Oryctolagus cuniculus: one gene and its partners. The protein of the gene in region 1 purifies or fractionates together with the protein of each later gene. This does not show direct contact. Links are inferred from orthologs where the notes say so. Each region holds a gene or a part of one and is shown in the gene's direction. Other genes may lie near its edges.

Region 1 (4,815 bases):
GGTAGGTTTCTCCTTCTGCCTTTCTCCCTGAGCATCTTTTAGCAAGAGGAGTCCTGATGAGCCAGCCTGGGCAGCCATAGTAGCACCGCGTCTGCTCCTTCTTTCATTGAACAGTCTTTGAGCACCTTCTCTGGGCAGCCTCTGCTTTCCATGCTGGGAACCAGAGAGGAAGCTGCCCCTTCAGCTTCCATCCTAGCCCGGGCAGCCCCAGCCCGGGCCTCTGGGGTCTTCTGCATGCTGGGGTTGGGGTGTTGTGTGCACCTGGTGGTGCCAGTGCAGAGACAGAGCTGGTGTGTGATGGGTTGAGAGGACCCTCCGAGGCATCCTTCCCCCTGGGGCTCTCAGAATGAGTGCTGGGGGTCCTGTTGCCAGAGCTTTATAGGACTATATTTCCTCGTGGACAATGTATCACTTTCAGGACTGATCCATTGGCCATAGCTTTGGGAGGGGATGGAGAGCTATAGAAAAAAGCGCTCACATTCTGATTTCCAGGCCAACTTGACTGCCCACCTCCCTTTCAGAACTTTAACATCTTAAAAAATGTGCTGTTTTGAATCAAAGAAGTACTTGCTTCCCCTTTATTTTGGGAACTGCAGCTTGACAGTTTCAGAGAGGGGTGGGGCTGCCCTTTAGGAGCTTCGGAGCTCAGCGAATGAAATGATAAACAAGTGGGTGATGTGGCGGTGGGACAGGCTGCAGAGAAGAAGGGAGGTTTCCTCCAGCCGTGGCTCCCCCGAGGTATTGCCTCATCTCTCCTCCCGGGCCCCAAATGCTGAATCTGGGCAGTAGCCCCCAAATCTGACAGCACTTCAGAATTACACAGATCACATGGGGAGCAAGGTGCCCCCGCCGGACCCCGGAAGAATTTCCTGGCGTGAATCCAGAGAAACTGTTCTGTGAGAACCGCTGCCCTGTAGAACCTCCGGATGCAGTGCACAGCAGATTTAGTTCTGTTTTTCATGTGTAGATTGGACCCTGAGACTACACGGTAAGGCAAGAGCCACAGCTGATTCAAATTTTTCCAAATCCTCTTTTTAGCCCCCAGAGTGCTTTGTGCCGTGCTCTGCCCAGCCTGCTCTTGTTAGTTGAGTAAGGAAATGAAAGAGCTCGGGGTTTAGGTGCATGTCAGCAGGCACTCCAGGTGCTGCTCCTGTGACTGAGTCCCCCTTCTACCATGATGACCCTACCTCCACAGTCAGGGCTCCTGGATGTCCTCGGTGTGCATCCAGTTCTGCCACCTCTCCTGGTGGCCAGACTCAGATATCTTAGTGGATTTGATCACATACATGTCACCAAGGTGACCTGTTGAGTACCTTCTTCCTGGAATCCCTTTATCAACTTTGCCACATGACCAACTTGCAGCATTTCCTTCAGGGAGCTCTCCCTGAGCACTTCCTGCTTCTCTTGCCTAAGGTAGATGCCCTTTCTGAGGTCCTGTGCAACCTCCGTCAGTGACTCGCTGCATTGTACTGCGATTTGAACTCGCACGCATTCGCCACAGCACTATAAACTAGTTGGAGAAAACATTCTGTCTGGCTGACATAAAGTGCGTACTCAGTAAATATTTGTTGATAAATGAGTGAAGGGATGAATGAATGCATAAATGGACGGTGTCTACATTTGCATGCATTAATCTGTGTACAATAGAAAACAGAGTATATTCTTTTCCTCCTCTTTAATGGAGAGATTGTGGTGGTTTGAAGCCAGTTCTGGAATGGTAAAACAATGTCATTGCTTTTATATCCAACAGGAAATATGGGATGTATAAAATCAAAAAGGAAAGACAATCTGAATGACGATGGAGTAGATTTGAAGACTCAACCAGTACGTAATACTGACCGAACTATTTATGTGAGAGATCCAACGTCCAATAAACAGCCGAGGCCAGTAAGTAGATAGTCTCAGGGGAGAATTCCCACAGCAGGATCAAAGCATGGCTGCATGGTGTACACCAGTCTGAAATATGTGCATGCAAAAATTCACGTTGATTTCTTGGGCCTCAAATAATTTCTGATACGCTTTGTAACTTCATCCTTTGAAGATCATGTAAGCATTGTAGGGATAATCATGCTGTGTACTGGGTAATCAACAGGCCTTCAGTCAACTTCTCATGCGTGGAGAATACAACCTTTCATATTACCAGTGTGAAGACCCCACTATGTCCACATAGATACAGGCTGTATGACTTAGGATAGGTATTAAGATTAGCCTGGTGGTCTGGAAGCAAAAGGAAGTGCAAGATTTAATTCAAAAACTAAGTTTGTTGTTAATATGTCTTTGGCATAGCATTCTTTGTCATGCCTTGTCATTTCTTCGATTATATTAAAATAGCAGGTATTAAAGTTGTCATAATTTGTTATAGTGAATTGAAAGATTAAGAAGAAAGCACATCTAATTCTACCCCTTAACCTTAGAGAAATGCTTGCACTAGAATTTTTTTATTTGAAAAGCAGAGAAAGAGAGAGAGGGAGAGAGAGAGAGAGGGAGAGAGAGAGAGAGAGTGCTCAAGTGACTCTTATCTGCTGGTTCATTCCCCCAAATGCCCATAACAGGCTGTGAATTGGGGCCAAAACCAGCAGTATGGAACTCAATCCAGATTCCCCCAGCTGGAATTCCCCAACTACTTGAGCCATCACCACTGGGTCCCAAGGTAAACGTTAGCAGGAAACTGGAATCAGAAGCTGGAAGAGTATCAAATCCCAGCTCACCAATGTGGGATGTGGACATCTTAACTCCTAGATCAAATATGTGCCCTTACATAGTAATTTTGTTTTATATTATTCAGTACATCTGGGAAATTATTGGCAGTAATATGGCATGTTATAGAAATTACAACTTTAAATTAATTGCAACTTTAAATCTGCATTATTTCAGATCTTATGTCCTTTGCAACTATTTTCTCACTATATATATATATACATACACATATCCTTTTAAAGCATGGTTTTATGGAATTCCTCGGCATTTAAGCTAGAAACGGCTTATTCCAGGGTAGCTGAAATGCCTTCATTAAGAATTTTCAAGGCCAGCATTGTGGTGGAGCACATTAAGCCATTGCTTGTGATGCCGGCATCCTGTATTGGAATACTTGTTTGAGTACTAGCTTCTCGGCTTCCTATCCAATTGCCTACTTACTGGCCTGGGAAGGCAGCAGATCATGGTCTGGGTACTTGGGTACTTGCCACCCACATGGGAGACCCAGATGGAGTTCTAGGCCCCTGCCTTGGCCTGGCCCAGTCCTGGCATATGTGAATTTGGAGAGTGAACCAGTGGATAGAAGTGCCCTCTTTCTCTCTCACTCTCTCTCTCTCTGTCTCCTTGTTTCTCTCTTACCCTCTTTCCCTCCCTATGACTCAGCCTTTCAAATAAATAAGTCTTTTAAGAAAAAAGTTTTCATAGGTTTAGTCTGACATGCTTTTAAAAGTCTTATCATTTTAGAAATGTGTTCTAAGTCCATCTGTCTGCCCTCCCCCCAGCCTTTTTCCATTACCTTGAGGGTAGAACATATTAATCCCATGTTAGAGTCACATGTCAAAGTCACGTGTCATCACTGAGAATGACAACTCCAAGTTAGCCTTATTAAAAGGAGACAAAGAGTCAATATATTATGCTATGAAGCTTCATATGTGATGTTTTTGGATAAATTCACATTGTGATTTTTATTCTCAAAGTATGTAAGAATATCAATAGCTATGATAATTTAATGATAACATATATATAGTATTGTAAAACATAGGTATTACAGATGCAAAACTAGATATCATATAGCTATGATTAGTAGAAAGTAACATAAGGGGAATTGGAATCACAAAGAGTTTCCTTATAGACTTCAAAGTTCTCATGAGAGGATCTGTTTTCTCCTGGCATCATGTGCATCTGTTATACAGTCTTTAAAACCCAAGCATTTTTTGTTCTTTCTGTTTCTGTGTTTAAATGATAGACCAAGGCATCCTTTATTCAGAAAAGCAGAGACAAATACAAATGTACACATCATTTTTGCCTCTTGTTCAGAGTATAAGTCATTAGAAATCAAGCTAGAAAGCAGAAGTAATGAACATGTCCAAAGTCTTTCAATTCCATCATGTGTACTGTAAATATTTTAGTTTATGCCTTCTGTGGTCACAAGTGCCCTTGATTTGTGAGCTGGTGAGTTTGAGCTCATTCCATGGCTACAGATAACACCCTCAGGCCCACTCAGCTGTCCCTAAACACACATCCTGGATTGATTACAGAGGAACCTGATGAGATAGTGGGGTGAAATTGATGCAAATTCAGTGGTACTCTAGCAAAAGCCATTTTAGGGAAAAAGCTAGAGCAGTGACGTGGAGTCACACATACGTGTTTTGGTTGTACGAAGGCTGTTAAAATGTTTGTAAATTAAGGTGCTTTGATATTAGAAACTCAATTTGCTGCTTTCAGAATTATTCAGCTTCTCATCTTCTGATTATTTCCTCTAAATCATATAGAATAGATCAGACATCCTAATTATGCAAATCTAAGTGACTGCAAAATCAGTATAAAACTTCTTGAAGTATTGAAGGATGGTATGGAATGGATTTTCGGATTTCACAGTACAGCAATCGTCCCCACCCACCCACCCTGATGAAGTGGAGATAATTGGCTGATGTTGATCAGAAATTCAAATTGTAATTTCAGTATAAACTGTCCATGAAATCACTTTCATCAAAGAGAAACAGAATGTTACATGGGTTGTGGTGGAGGCCTCTGAGAGTACCTTCCTTAGATGAGCCTCACTGTGCCACTGCAGGAAAGAGGAATTTGAGCTAAATGTAACCAAGGTGAACTGTGGTACCA
Region 2 (4,815 bases), on another chromosome or scaffold:
CCAGACGGAGTTCTAGGCGCTCGGCTTCAGCCTGGCCGCTGCTGCCACCTGGGGAGGGAGCCAGAGGTAGATCTCTTTCTTTCTGTCTCTCCCTCTCTTTGTCACTCTGCCTTTCAAATAAGTAAAAATAGATCTTCACCGTACGTGTGTGTGTGTTCGACTAGAAAGTGGCACTGTTGTAAAAGCCTGCAGAAAGCTGAATGGTGTGTTTGTTCGGGAGGTGTGAGGTCTGGAGCCGTGACGCAGGCTTATGCCCAGCGTTGCCTCCTGTTCCCTGGGGAAGGCAGCCTGGGCCTTGATGCTCTCTCTGGGCTGAGCCTGAGCCTTCGGATCAGAAAGGACCTGTAAAAGGGGCGTGGCCCTTGCTAGGCCCTGGAGGGCTCCGCCGCGGGTTCCTGCCTGGCTGGTGCCCGCGTCCCGGCTCTGGCTGGGGTGGGGATTAGGGCAGCAGGGTGAGGGGCGCTGCAGAGGGCGCTGCGGGCGAGACTGCAGCGGCCTCGCGTGAGTGGTGCTGGGCAGCAGTTTTCCCGTCCCCGCTGGACGTGGCCGCTAGCACGCAATGCCTCCCGTCTCCTAGCACCTCTGCGTCTCAGCGGAGGAACTTCCCATCCGTTATCTCAGCAGAGTGGCTGTCGGCTGGCAGGGCTCAGGTCAGTCCATTTGCAGGGGGACTAGAGTCCCCATCAGGCCTTGCTCTCCCGCCGGCTCTGCGTGCTGCCCCGTGCTGTGGGCAGCGCAGTCCTCTCTTTTCTCCCACGGCTCGGTCTGTGTGGCTGCAGAGCCCGCGCTGTCCACCGCAGGCTGCCCCGAGCCGAGTCCAGCTGGAACGGACGCGTCCCCAGGCTGAGGATGGGCCGCGGTCTGTGCTGGGGGTGTCTGTCACTCTAGACCCTCTTACCTGAGGCCCGGGAGCCTCTGGCGACATTCTGCCCCTCCTCACAGTCTGGGCCCCCACATCGGCGCCCTCAGGAGACCAGCCCCCGCCAGGACAGCCCCCGTGGAGCCGGCACCTTCCTGGGTGCCCACCCACTGTCCAGGCCTGGTCTGCCGGGACCCCAGCATCCCGCCCCGCCCGCCGGGGACTGCAGCCGAGCTAACACTGCCGCTCTCTCGCCCGTCCTCTCCCTCTGTCTTGGTGACGTCAGTGCAGCAGCTTCTGGAAGACGGCGCGGATCCCTGCGCAGCCGACGACAAGGGCCGCACGGCTCTCCACTTCGCCTCCTGCAATGGCAATGACCGCATTGGTGAGTCCTGGGGGAGGAGGGGGCAGGCGTGGCAAGCAGTGTCTCGGGGCGGGGGGAGGCGCGGCTGGCTGCACAGCCTCAGGATGCCCACGTGTGCTGGGGACTGGCAGCCTGGCACCCAAGTGCCCTGGCCCTCGCCCTCCCCAGGGTGAAGACCGGGCAGGGGCAGGCCCAGGCCTCAGAGGTCTTCATTCAGGCACCGCTGGCTCAGGCAGCCACAGCAGTGGCTCCTTTTATTAAAGGTGTCTTTTGAAAAATTATGGTGTGACTTGTGGTGTGTGTGTGTGTGTGCGTGCGTGTGCTCACACTGTGGGGGAGCCACCACCAGATCAAGATGGAGAATCTCTCCCAGTCCTCTCCCCCGGGGGGACCGTGTCCACCACGACTGGGGTTCCCTGTCTGTGGAGTTCACGTCCGTGGAAGCCCCCGGCGTGCTCTTTCGGTCACCGCTATGTCCGCGCGACCATCCGTGCTTGCGTGTGTGTGCCGGGAGCTTGCCTCCCCACGTCCCGGTGTGACACAGCCCCGGCCCCATCCTGCTGGGCCATTGGCATTGGCATGGTTTCCAGGTGACGGTTCTTGTACGTACACGCCCTCACCTGTAGGGGGCGACGTCCGGAGTGGAAGCCTGGCGGCTCTCTCCCCAGGTGGGTGCTGAGGGGCCGAGAGCGCCACGCCTGCCCACACCCCTGCCGGAGCCCTCTCTGTCTTTGCCACTTAGCGTTCTGGCTGGGGTCTAATTTGCATTTCTCCGCGCCAGCACTTACTGGCCATTTCAACATCCTCCTTTGTGCGTGTCTGTTCAAGTCCTTGGGCCATTTTCCCATGCAAGATGTCTTTAGAACTGCAGCGTTTTGTGTTCTGCACAGAAGTCCCTGACGTAAAGGATGACGTGCTTAGCCTGCCTTTTGTTCTCTGAGGGACGTCTTTTGAGTTACACGGTGTTTTAGGAAGGACAATGTATCAGTCTTCTCCTCTGCTTGTCGCTTGTCGGGGGTGCTGGGTGTTCTCCCAGAGCCTGACTACTGTGGCTTTCACATTTACACCCGTGACGCCTCTCAATACTTCCTGGATATCACGTGAGGCTCAGCCTGGTCGCCCTGTTCCCTGTCCTAGACTCAGCCCGTCCATCAGGCAGTAGGCAAACCCGGCCGATGGCACAGCCCTGGCGCTCAGGGGGCCCAGAGACCACCCAGGAGGGCAGGGTGACATCGTCCACAGGCCTCGCTGTGGAGGACGAAACACGCCCTTGAGAGCCCATGCCTGCAGCCACTGCTATTGGGAGAACGCTCAGCTGTGAGGTCTGGGACCCACAACACCTGCCAAGGCCAGGAGGCCCCTGGAGCCCCCAGGTCCTGCCCTAGAGTCCTGCACATGAATCCCGTTGAGTCAGTGGGTGGCTGAGTGTGTGAGCAAGTGGTGACTAGTGGGGGGACAACAGGGAGGCGCTGTGCCATCTGGGTCCCACACTCTGCGCAAGGCCTCGCTAGCGTAGGAGGGGCGCCCCCTGCCTCACCGTGGCGGGAAGCGGGGATGACAGGCGCCTCCCACAGGCCTCCTGGGCTTCCCTCTTTTCAGTGCAGCTCCTCCTGGACCACGGGGCCGATCCCAACCAGCGAGACGGGCTGGGGAACACACCGCTCCACCTGGGTAAGCGCCTCCTGAGGCCCAGACAGCTGCTGGGCTGCATAGACGGGCTCCCAGCAGGTTCTCCCAGCGTGGGGTGGGGGGAGAGCCCGATCCCCGGCTGCTGTCCCACCGGCCTGGGTCCACGGCTTTCCAGGCTCTCGGGAGTCGGCTCTGCCCTCAGCACAGCTGCTCTGGCAGCCCCACTGGGCAGATGTGGCCCGAGGCCTTGGCTGGTTGCGCCCCTCACCGGCTTGCACTGTCACTCGTGCCGGGCAGGTCCCATCTGCAGGCCTCAGTTTCCTCGGCCATGCAGGGAGGGACTTGGACTTGATGGCCGAGTCCTGCCCAGCTGACACCTTGGTGACCCTTCCCCAGGGGGCGTCACTTGGCACAGGCATGCTCCCTCTTGCAGGCACACAGGGCCAGGCTGAGGGTACCGAACTCTTTTTATATGTATATAGATTTATTCATTTAAAAGAGTTGCAGAGAGATAGGGAGAGACAGAGAGCGATCTTCCATCCACTGATTCACTCCCCAGAGTTGGGCCAGGCTGAAGCCAGGAGCCAGGAGCTTCTTCAGGCCCCCATATCGGTGGTAGGAGCCCAAGCAGTTGGGCCGTCTTCCGCTGCTCTTCCCAGGCCACTAGCGGGGAGCTGGATCAGAAGTGAAGCAGCCGGGGCCGGGGCTGTGGCGTAGCGAGTAAAGCTTCCGCCTGCAGCTCTGGCATCCTTGTGGGCGCCAGTTGGAGTCCTGGGTGCTCCACTTGCAATCCAGCAGGAAAAGCAGCAGAGGACGGCCCAAGTGCTTGGGCCCCTGCACCCCCGTGGGAGACTTGGATGAAGCTCCTGCCTTTGGCCCAGACCTGGCCATTGCAGCCATTTGGGGAGTGAACCAGCGGATAGAAGACCTCTCTCTGTCTCTCTGCCTCTGCTTCTCCCTCTCTGTAACTCTTTCAAATAAGTAAATAAATCTTAAAAAAAAAAAAAAAAAAAAAAGTGAAGCAGCCGGAACTCAAACCGGCGCCCGCAGGGGACGCCGGCACTGCAGGCGGCAGCTGTGCCCACTGCGCCGCGACGCTGGGCCCCGGGTTCTGAATTCTTGCGTCTGCTCCTCCCCAGCGGCCTGCACCAACCACGTGCCTGTGATCACCACCCTGCTGCGAGGAGGTAGGTGGCTTCTTCCCCTCCCCCGTCCTCACCTTCGCCCAGCGTGATGGCTCCCGCCTGTCCTCGCAGGCGCCCGGGTCGACGCCCTGGACCGAGCTGGCCGCACGCCCCTGCACCTGGCCAAGTCGAAGCTGAGCATCCTGCAGGAGGGCCACTCCCAGTGCCTGGAGGCCGTGCGGCTGGAGGTGAAGCAGGTGAGCCGCCTTCGGCGCCGCCCTCCCGCACGGGTGCCCGCGCTGGCCCCTGCTCCGCGGTGCCTGCTGGCGGCAGCCTGGGCCCCCGTGTCCCCAGGGGGGGCCTGGGTAGCCGGCTCACCTTCTGTTCCAGATCATCCAGATGCTGAGGGAGTACCTGGAGCGCCTGGGGCGCCACGAGCAGCGCGAGCGGCTGGATGACCTCTGCACCCGCCTGCAGATGACAAGCACCAAAGAGCAGGTGAGCCGCAGCCTCGGGGCCAGTGCACCCAGCCGCTGCAGTCTGACCTCGAGTCGGGCTGAGCCTGCGGGGCGGCAGCCCCCGCGGCCCGCAAGCCTCTGCCCGTGCGTGGCCAGCTCTCCTGGGCAGCCCCAGACCGCCTGCTGTCGAGTAGGAAGCTTGGTCAGCTGTTCTGTAGTCAGCCCAGCGGGTGGCCCAGGAGGAGGAGCCACGCCTGCCTTCTCTGCGGCGTTGGGGGCAGGGAACGGGCACCCTGGCACCCTGGACCAGCCTGGGCTTTGTCCTGCAGGTGGACGAAGTGACCGACCTCCTGGCCAGCTTTACCTCTCTGAGTCTGCAGA
Region 3 (4,815 bases), on another chromosome or scaffold:
ATAATTTCATAATCAACATAACACGCGTTTGCAGCTGCACGGTAGTACCGGAGATTGCACAGAGCCTTCGCCCGATTGCCCTGTGGCAGCTCCTTAGCTAACCGTGGTGTCAGCCTGGGCCTCGGAACACCAGTGGTGCCCTCACGGTCCTGTGCGCTCACTGATCGACCTTCAGGTTCAGCGCTTGGTTCTGTGCAGGATGCTGCATGCATGTGGCTGCCTTAACTCCGGGTATCCTTGGATGTGGCACTGCTCCCCCAGAAGCCTTGCTATGCAGTGACTGTAGGCATCTCGTGTCACTTCTCATATCCCTGAACCAAACATGGCAAATCCATTTGAGTGTAGTTTTACATATCCTGGAGAGAAGTGAAAAAAAAAATGGTTAAAATAAAAAATCACCATGAAATGTTGCAGGAAAAGTCTTCAAGACAAACTGGCTGGAAAAAAAAAATCCCAGAAGTCTTAGAAATCAGGTGGAACAGGAAAAAAAAGTCATGAGGACCCAGCAGACTGTGCCACCCCTTTCCTGAGAGGCTGCAGGCTGCATAAATACGCTCTCAAAATTCGGCACTAGGTCCTGAGACCACACCACTTTAGAAGTTCTGAAAACGAGAAGCCTGGGGTAGATGTTTTATACAGGGAGCGTCCTCAGAAGGTGCAGGTTCTGTGCAATCAGGGTGAATATCTGTCATTGCAAGGAGACATTGCCCGCGAATGTTGAGGTGCTGCCAGCCCGGGGCCCCAGATCCCCGGGGCTGAGACCCTGGGAGACACTGACATTGGCTTCTCCTCCTAGAAGTGGACGCGACATTACTGTGCCATCGCCGATGCCAAGCTGTCTTTCAGTGACGACATAGAGCAGGCGGTGGAGGAAGAGCCGCCCCAGGTAGGCGGGGACCCAGCCGCACCTGTGCTTCTCAGCCCTTAACTGCTGCCTCTTGGGGACCCAAGTTCCAGCTGGCTCTTCTCTGGTTGGCTGGTTGGACTGTTTGTTTGACCAATAAGGTTCGAGGCTCTTTCCTGCTTCCTGAAAGGCCTGATTGGCCTTGGATCGTGGTCTGTGCTCCCTGGGGATGCTCACTGCCTGTCCTCTCCCCTCCAGCTGCCTTGAGTGGACCCCCAGAGTGGGAGGGCGTTCAGACCTCCTGGAGAACAGAATTGAGGGCTGTGTGTGTGTGTGTGTGTGTGTGTGGCGGGGGGACCCTGTGTCTCAGGACCACAGGGGCAGGTCGCAGGCAGGCGAGGGCAGTGGCAGCTGTCGGAGACCACTCTTCTCTCTGTGGCCCAGGATACGCCCCCCACGGAGCTGCATTTTGGGGAGAAATGGTTTCACAAGAAGGTCGAGAAGCGGATGAGTGCCGAGAAACTTCTGCAAGACTACTGCGCCGAGACAGGGGGCAAGGATGGCACATTCCTGGTGCGCGAGAGCGAGACCTACCCGGACAAGTACACCCTGTCCTTTTGGTAATGCCCTCTCTCCCCGTCGGAGCTGGCTGGGTGGGAGCAGGCCTCATGCTGGGGCTGGAGCCTGGACCCCAGGCCTCGCTGAGGGGGCTGTGCTGGCCCAGGACCAGAGTGTGCAGCACTGAGCCTCACTCGTCAGGATGAGTGACATTCCAATGCAGGAGTCAGAATACGAATATTTGAAATGAAGACGAGATCAGACCCTGCACCTGGACGGTGCGGGCCCACCTGCCGCCCCTAATCCTGGCCCTGGACAGCTCTATTCACTGAATTTATTGAGCGCTTGCTGTCTGCCTAGGCAGAGTAATTTAGCGGTGAACATAGTCCCTGGAAAAGCAGTCCTAGCAATGACACAGCCGGCCTCTGTGCCTGCAGGTTCTGCGTCTGCAGGCTGAGCCAGCCCCAGATGGAGAATGCCTGGACAGGACTGAGTCTGTGTTGCACGAGTCTGGACTTGTGTTTTCCTGTCGCTGTTCTGTGAGCAGCAGGGCATGGCAGCTGTTCAGTTAGCACTTGCATTGCGTTGAAGGCTGCTCAGTGGTCTAGGGACGCTTTAAGGGGCTGGGTGTGGGTTCTGTGCAGACACTGCTCCACGTCACTGAAGGGACTGGAGCATGCACGGATTTTGCCTTCTATGGGGGCTTGTGGAACCAATCCCCCTGAGTCCGAGGGCTGACTGCGCACTTGACTTTGTGATGGGTGTGATGGAAACAGCGGAGATTCCGGAAGGCCGTAACAGAGCGAGTTCAGAGGGAACTCGTGCAGTGTGGGCGGGGGGTGAGAAAGTCTGCGAGGGAGGACCCGGCGCAGCCTTGGGGGCACAGAGGGGAAGATTCAGAGAAGAGGAGAGCTGGGGGTGAAAGTCTTTTTTTTTTTTTTAATTTGACAGAGTTATAGACAGTGAGAGAGAAAGAGAGAAAGGTCTTCCTTCCGTTGGTTCACTCCCCAAATGGCCGCTACAGCCGGTGCTGTGCCGATCCAAAGCCAGGAGCCAGGTGCTTCCTCCTGGTCTCCCAAGTGGGTGCAGGAGCCCAAGCACTTGGGCCATCTTCCACTGCCCTCCCAGGCCACAGCAGAGAGCTGGACTGGAAGAGGAGCAACCGGGACTAGAACCCGCTGCCCATATGGGATGCCGGCGCTGCAGGCGGAGGATTAGCCTAGTGAGCCGCGGCGCTGGCCGGGGTGCAAGTCTTAATAGCAGTGCAGCAGTGAGGGAGCTGTCGGCTCTGGGGGCGGCTGCGTGCTGGGCAGTGGCGCTCCAGGTTCATCTCTTGTGTGGTCGCGGTCACCTCCAGAGATGCTGTGACCTTCCCTTTGACCTCTAGGATGAAAAAACTGAGGCTCATACAGGACGGGTCACTTGCTCAAGGACACTTAGCTCGGAGGTGGCCCAGCTGGGATTTGCAGCTGGGCATCCAGAGTAGGAGTTAAGTAGACAAAGAGGAGGCAGTGGACAGGAAAAATCCTTCCGGGAGGTTCTGTATTCCAGGCAAAAGGACCAGACTGCGGTATCGCCCTGGGTCTGCTGTGGGGGCAGAGGGAAGGCCGTGTGGCCACAGCAGGAGTCATCCCCGGGGTCTGGCTGGAGTGCTCTGCCACCCCCCCACCCCCGACCCCGCGCCCGGGCCTGGCCCAGCTGGCCCCAACAGCGTCCCCTCCCTGCAGGCGATCCGGCCGTGTCCAGCACTGCTTGATCCGCTCCACCGTGGAGGGCGGCACCACGAAGTACTACCTGACTGACAACCTCAAGTTCACCAGCATCTACGCCCTCATCCAGCACTACCGCGAGGCGCACCTGCGCTGCACCGAGTTCGAGCTGCAGCTCACCGACCCCGTGCCCAACCCCAACCCTCACGAGTCGAAGCCGTACGTGGTGGGGTTGGTGGGAGGCACACAGCCTGGGGTCAGGTGCACTGGTCAGAGGGGCCGCCCTGGAGGGCCCCTGTGGCCCTGGGTATCCCAGTTCCCAGGGGAGGCAGATTCCTGCTGCCTGCTGCCGGCTGCCGGTGGCCCTGGGTATCCCAGTTCCCAGGGGAGGCAGATTCCTGCTGCCTGCTGCCGGTGGCCCTGGGTATCCCAGTTCCCAGGGGAGGCAGATTCCTCCTGCCTGCTGCCGGTGGCCCGTGTTCCTTTCCTCTCGCCCGTGCCCCCTCCTCGCTTTGCTTCTGCTTGACCTTCCGCATCCTGAGGTCCTGGCCTTTGGTTTTCGAAGTTCATTTTGGCCCACAGCGTCTGCTTGTGGAAGCCCCTTCCTGTTGTTCTAACCATGAACAAGGACAAGAGCTGCAAGTGTGTGCCCTCCAGTTCTCTGTTCAGGGAAGTACCAGATCATGCCTGGCAGAGGGTCAACACGTTCTGGAAGTAAACAAGAAAAATCCACTTTTGAGCCAAAAGGCACATTTTTGTGGAAGGCGGGGAACTTTTCCTGTCCCTTTCCATCTGGGTTGCTCCTACAGCCTTTCACCTCTTAAGAAATAACCAAGAAAAATTTAAAAACCTCCTCCTGCACCGTCACTCACGTTCCCTGCCTCGGATTTGCTGAGTCGCTGCAACAACCTGGGCTTGGGCAGGCCGCGTGGTGATGAGGTGGCTTTTCCTCTCATGCCCACGCAGGTGCACTTGGTCTCTTAGTGGTCTTTTCAAACCTTGCTGTTTTCCACGCTGCTTTTGTCTGGGGAAGCCCACCGGGCAGTTTGCAAGCCCCTGGGTCCCGAGCTTCCATGCCCCGTGGGTGGTGGCCTGCGTTCCCCAGGGCGGGCCCTCACCTGGTGTCTCGCTGGCCTCCCTGGGCTGCAGGTGGTTCTACGATGCGCTGAGCCGCGGGGAAGCCGAGGACATGCTCATGCGGATCCCGCGGGACGGCGCGTTCCTGATCCGCAGGCGGGAAGGAAGCGACTCCTACGCCATCACCTTCAGGTAGCAGGGACAGGTGGGGACGGCAGAGGCGGGGCTTCGGGTAGAGGCCTGCCCCGCAGCGTCCTCTCCCCCAGCATGGACAAGCACGCGACGGCCACAGCAGCGTGTGTGTGCCCTGCTCGTGCACCAGGCGCTCTGAGGTTCCCGCGTGTTCTCTGGAGTACAGGCTGAGCCTGCCTGGTCTGGACATCTGAAATCCAAAATCCCTGCAAAACCTGAAACTTACTGAGTGCCCTTGCGACGCCACAAGTGGAAAATCCTACACCTGACCTCGCTGGAGGGGTCAAGGTTCACATGCAGGCGTTCTTAAAACAAACAAACAAACAAACAAAAAAAACACTTCAGAAATTACCTTAAAGCCATGTGACAGGGCGTCTAGGCAACATGAATGATTGGTGTTTAGACTCGGGTCCCAGCCCTAGTGTGTCGCAGTAT

The links. Proteins that work in one complex are often made in the same cells at the same time.
Region 2: the proteins of LYN (region 1) and ANKRD54 purify together in Homo sapiens (affinity purification with mass spectrometry; 3 studies listed by BioGRID and IntAct, with this or other methods). This does not show direct contact. The link is inferred for Oryctolagus cuniculus from reciprocal best matches to the Homo sapiens genes LYN and ANKRD54.
Region 3: the proteins of LYN (region 1) and PLCG2 purify together in Homo sapiens (affinity purification with western blotting; 3 studies listed by BioGRID, with this or other methods). This does not show direct contact. The link is inferred for Oryctolagus cuniculus from reciprocal best matches to the Homo sapiens genes LYN and PLCG2.

The regions. Positions count from the first base shown.
Region 1 is NC_091437.1:81,206,028-81,210,842, forward strand, and holds part of LYN (tyrosine-protein kinase Lyn), read left to right. Parts: intron 1-1,750; 5' UTR 1,751-1,755; coding exon 1,756-1,887; intron 1,888-4,815. UniProt on the Homo sapiens protein: Non-receptor tyrosine-protein kinase that transmits signals from cell surface receptors and plays an important role in the regulation of innate and adaptive immune responses, hematopoiesis, responses to growth factors and cytokines, integrin signaling, but also responses to DNA damage and genotoxic agents.
Region 2 is NC_091442.1:114,671,116-114,675,930, reverse strand, and holds part of ANKRD54 (ankyrin repeat domain-containing protein 54), read left to right. Parts: intron 1-1,145; coding exon 1,146-1,244; intron 1,245-2,822; coding exon of another isoform or gene 2,823-2,827; coding exon 2,828-2,894; intron 2,895-3,902; coding exon 3,903-4,039; intron 4,040-4,108; coding exon 4,109-4,233; intron 4,234-4,366; coding exon 4,367-4,474; intron 4,475-4,763; coding exon 4,764-4,815. UniProt on the Homo sapiens protein: Plays an important role in regulating intracellular signaling events associated with erythroid terminal differentiation.
Region 3 is NC_091449.1:63,945,098-63,949,912, forward strand, and holds part of PLCG2 (1-phosphatidylinositol 4,5-bisphosphate phosphodiesterase gamma-2), read left to right. Parts: intron 1-796; coding exon 797-886; intron 887-1,288; coding exon 1,289-1,464; intron 1,465-3,129; coding exon 3,130-3,330; intron 3,331-4,260; coding exon 4,261-4,380; intron 4,381-4,815. UniProt on the Homo sapiens protein: The production of the second messenger molecules diacylglycerol (DAG) and inositol 1,4,5-trisphosphate (IP3) is mediated by activated phosphatidylinositol-specific phospholipase C enzymes. It is a crucial enzyme in transmembrane signaling.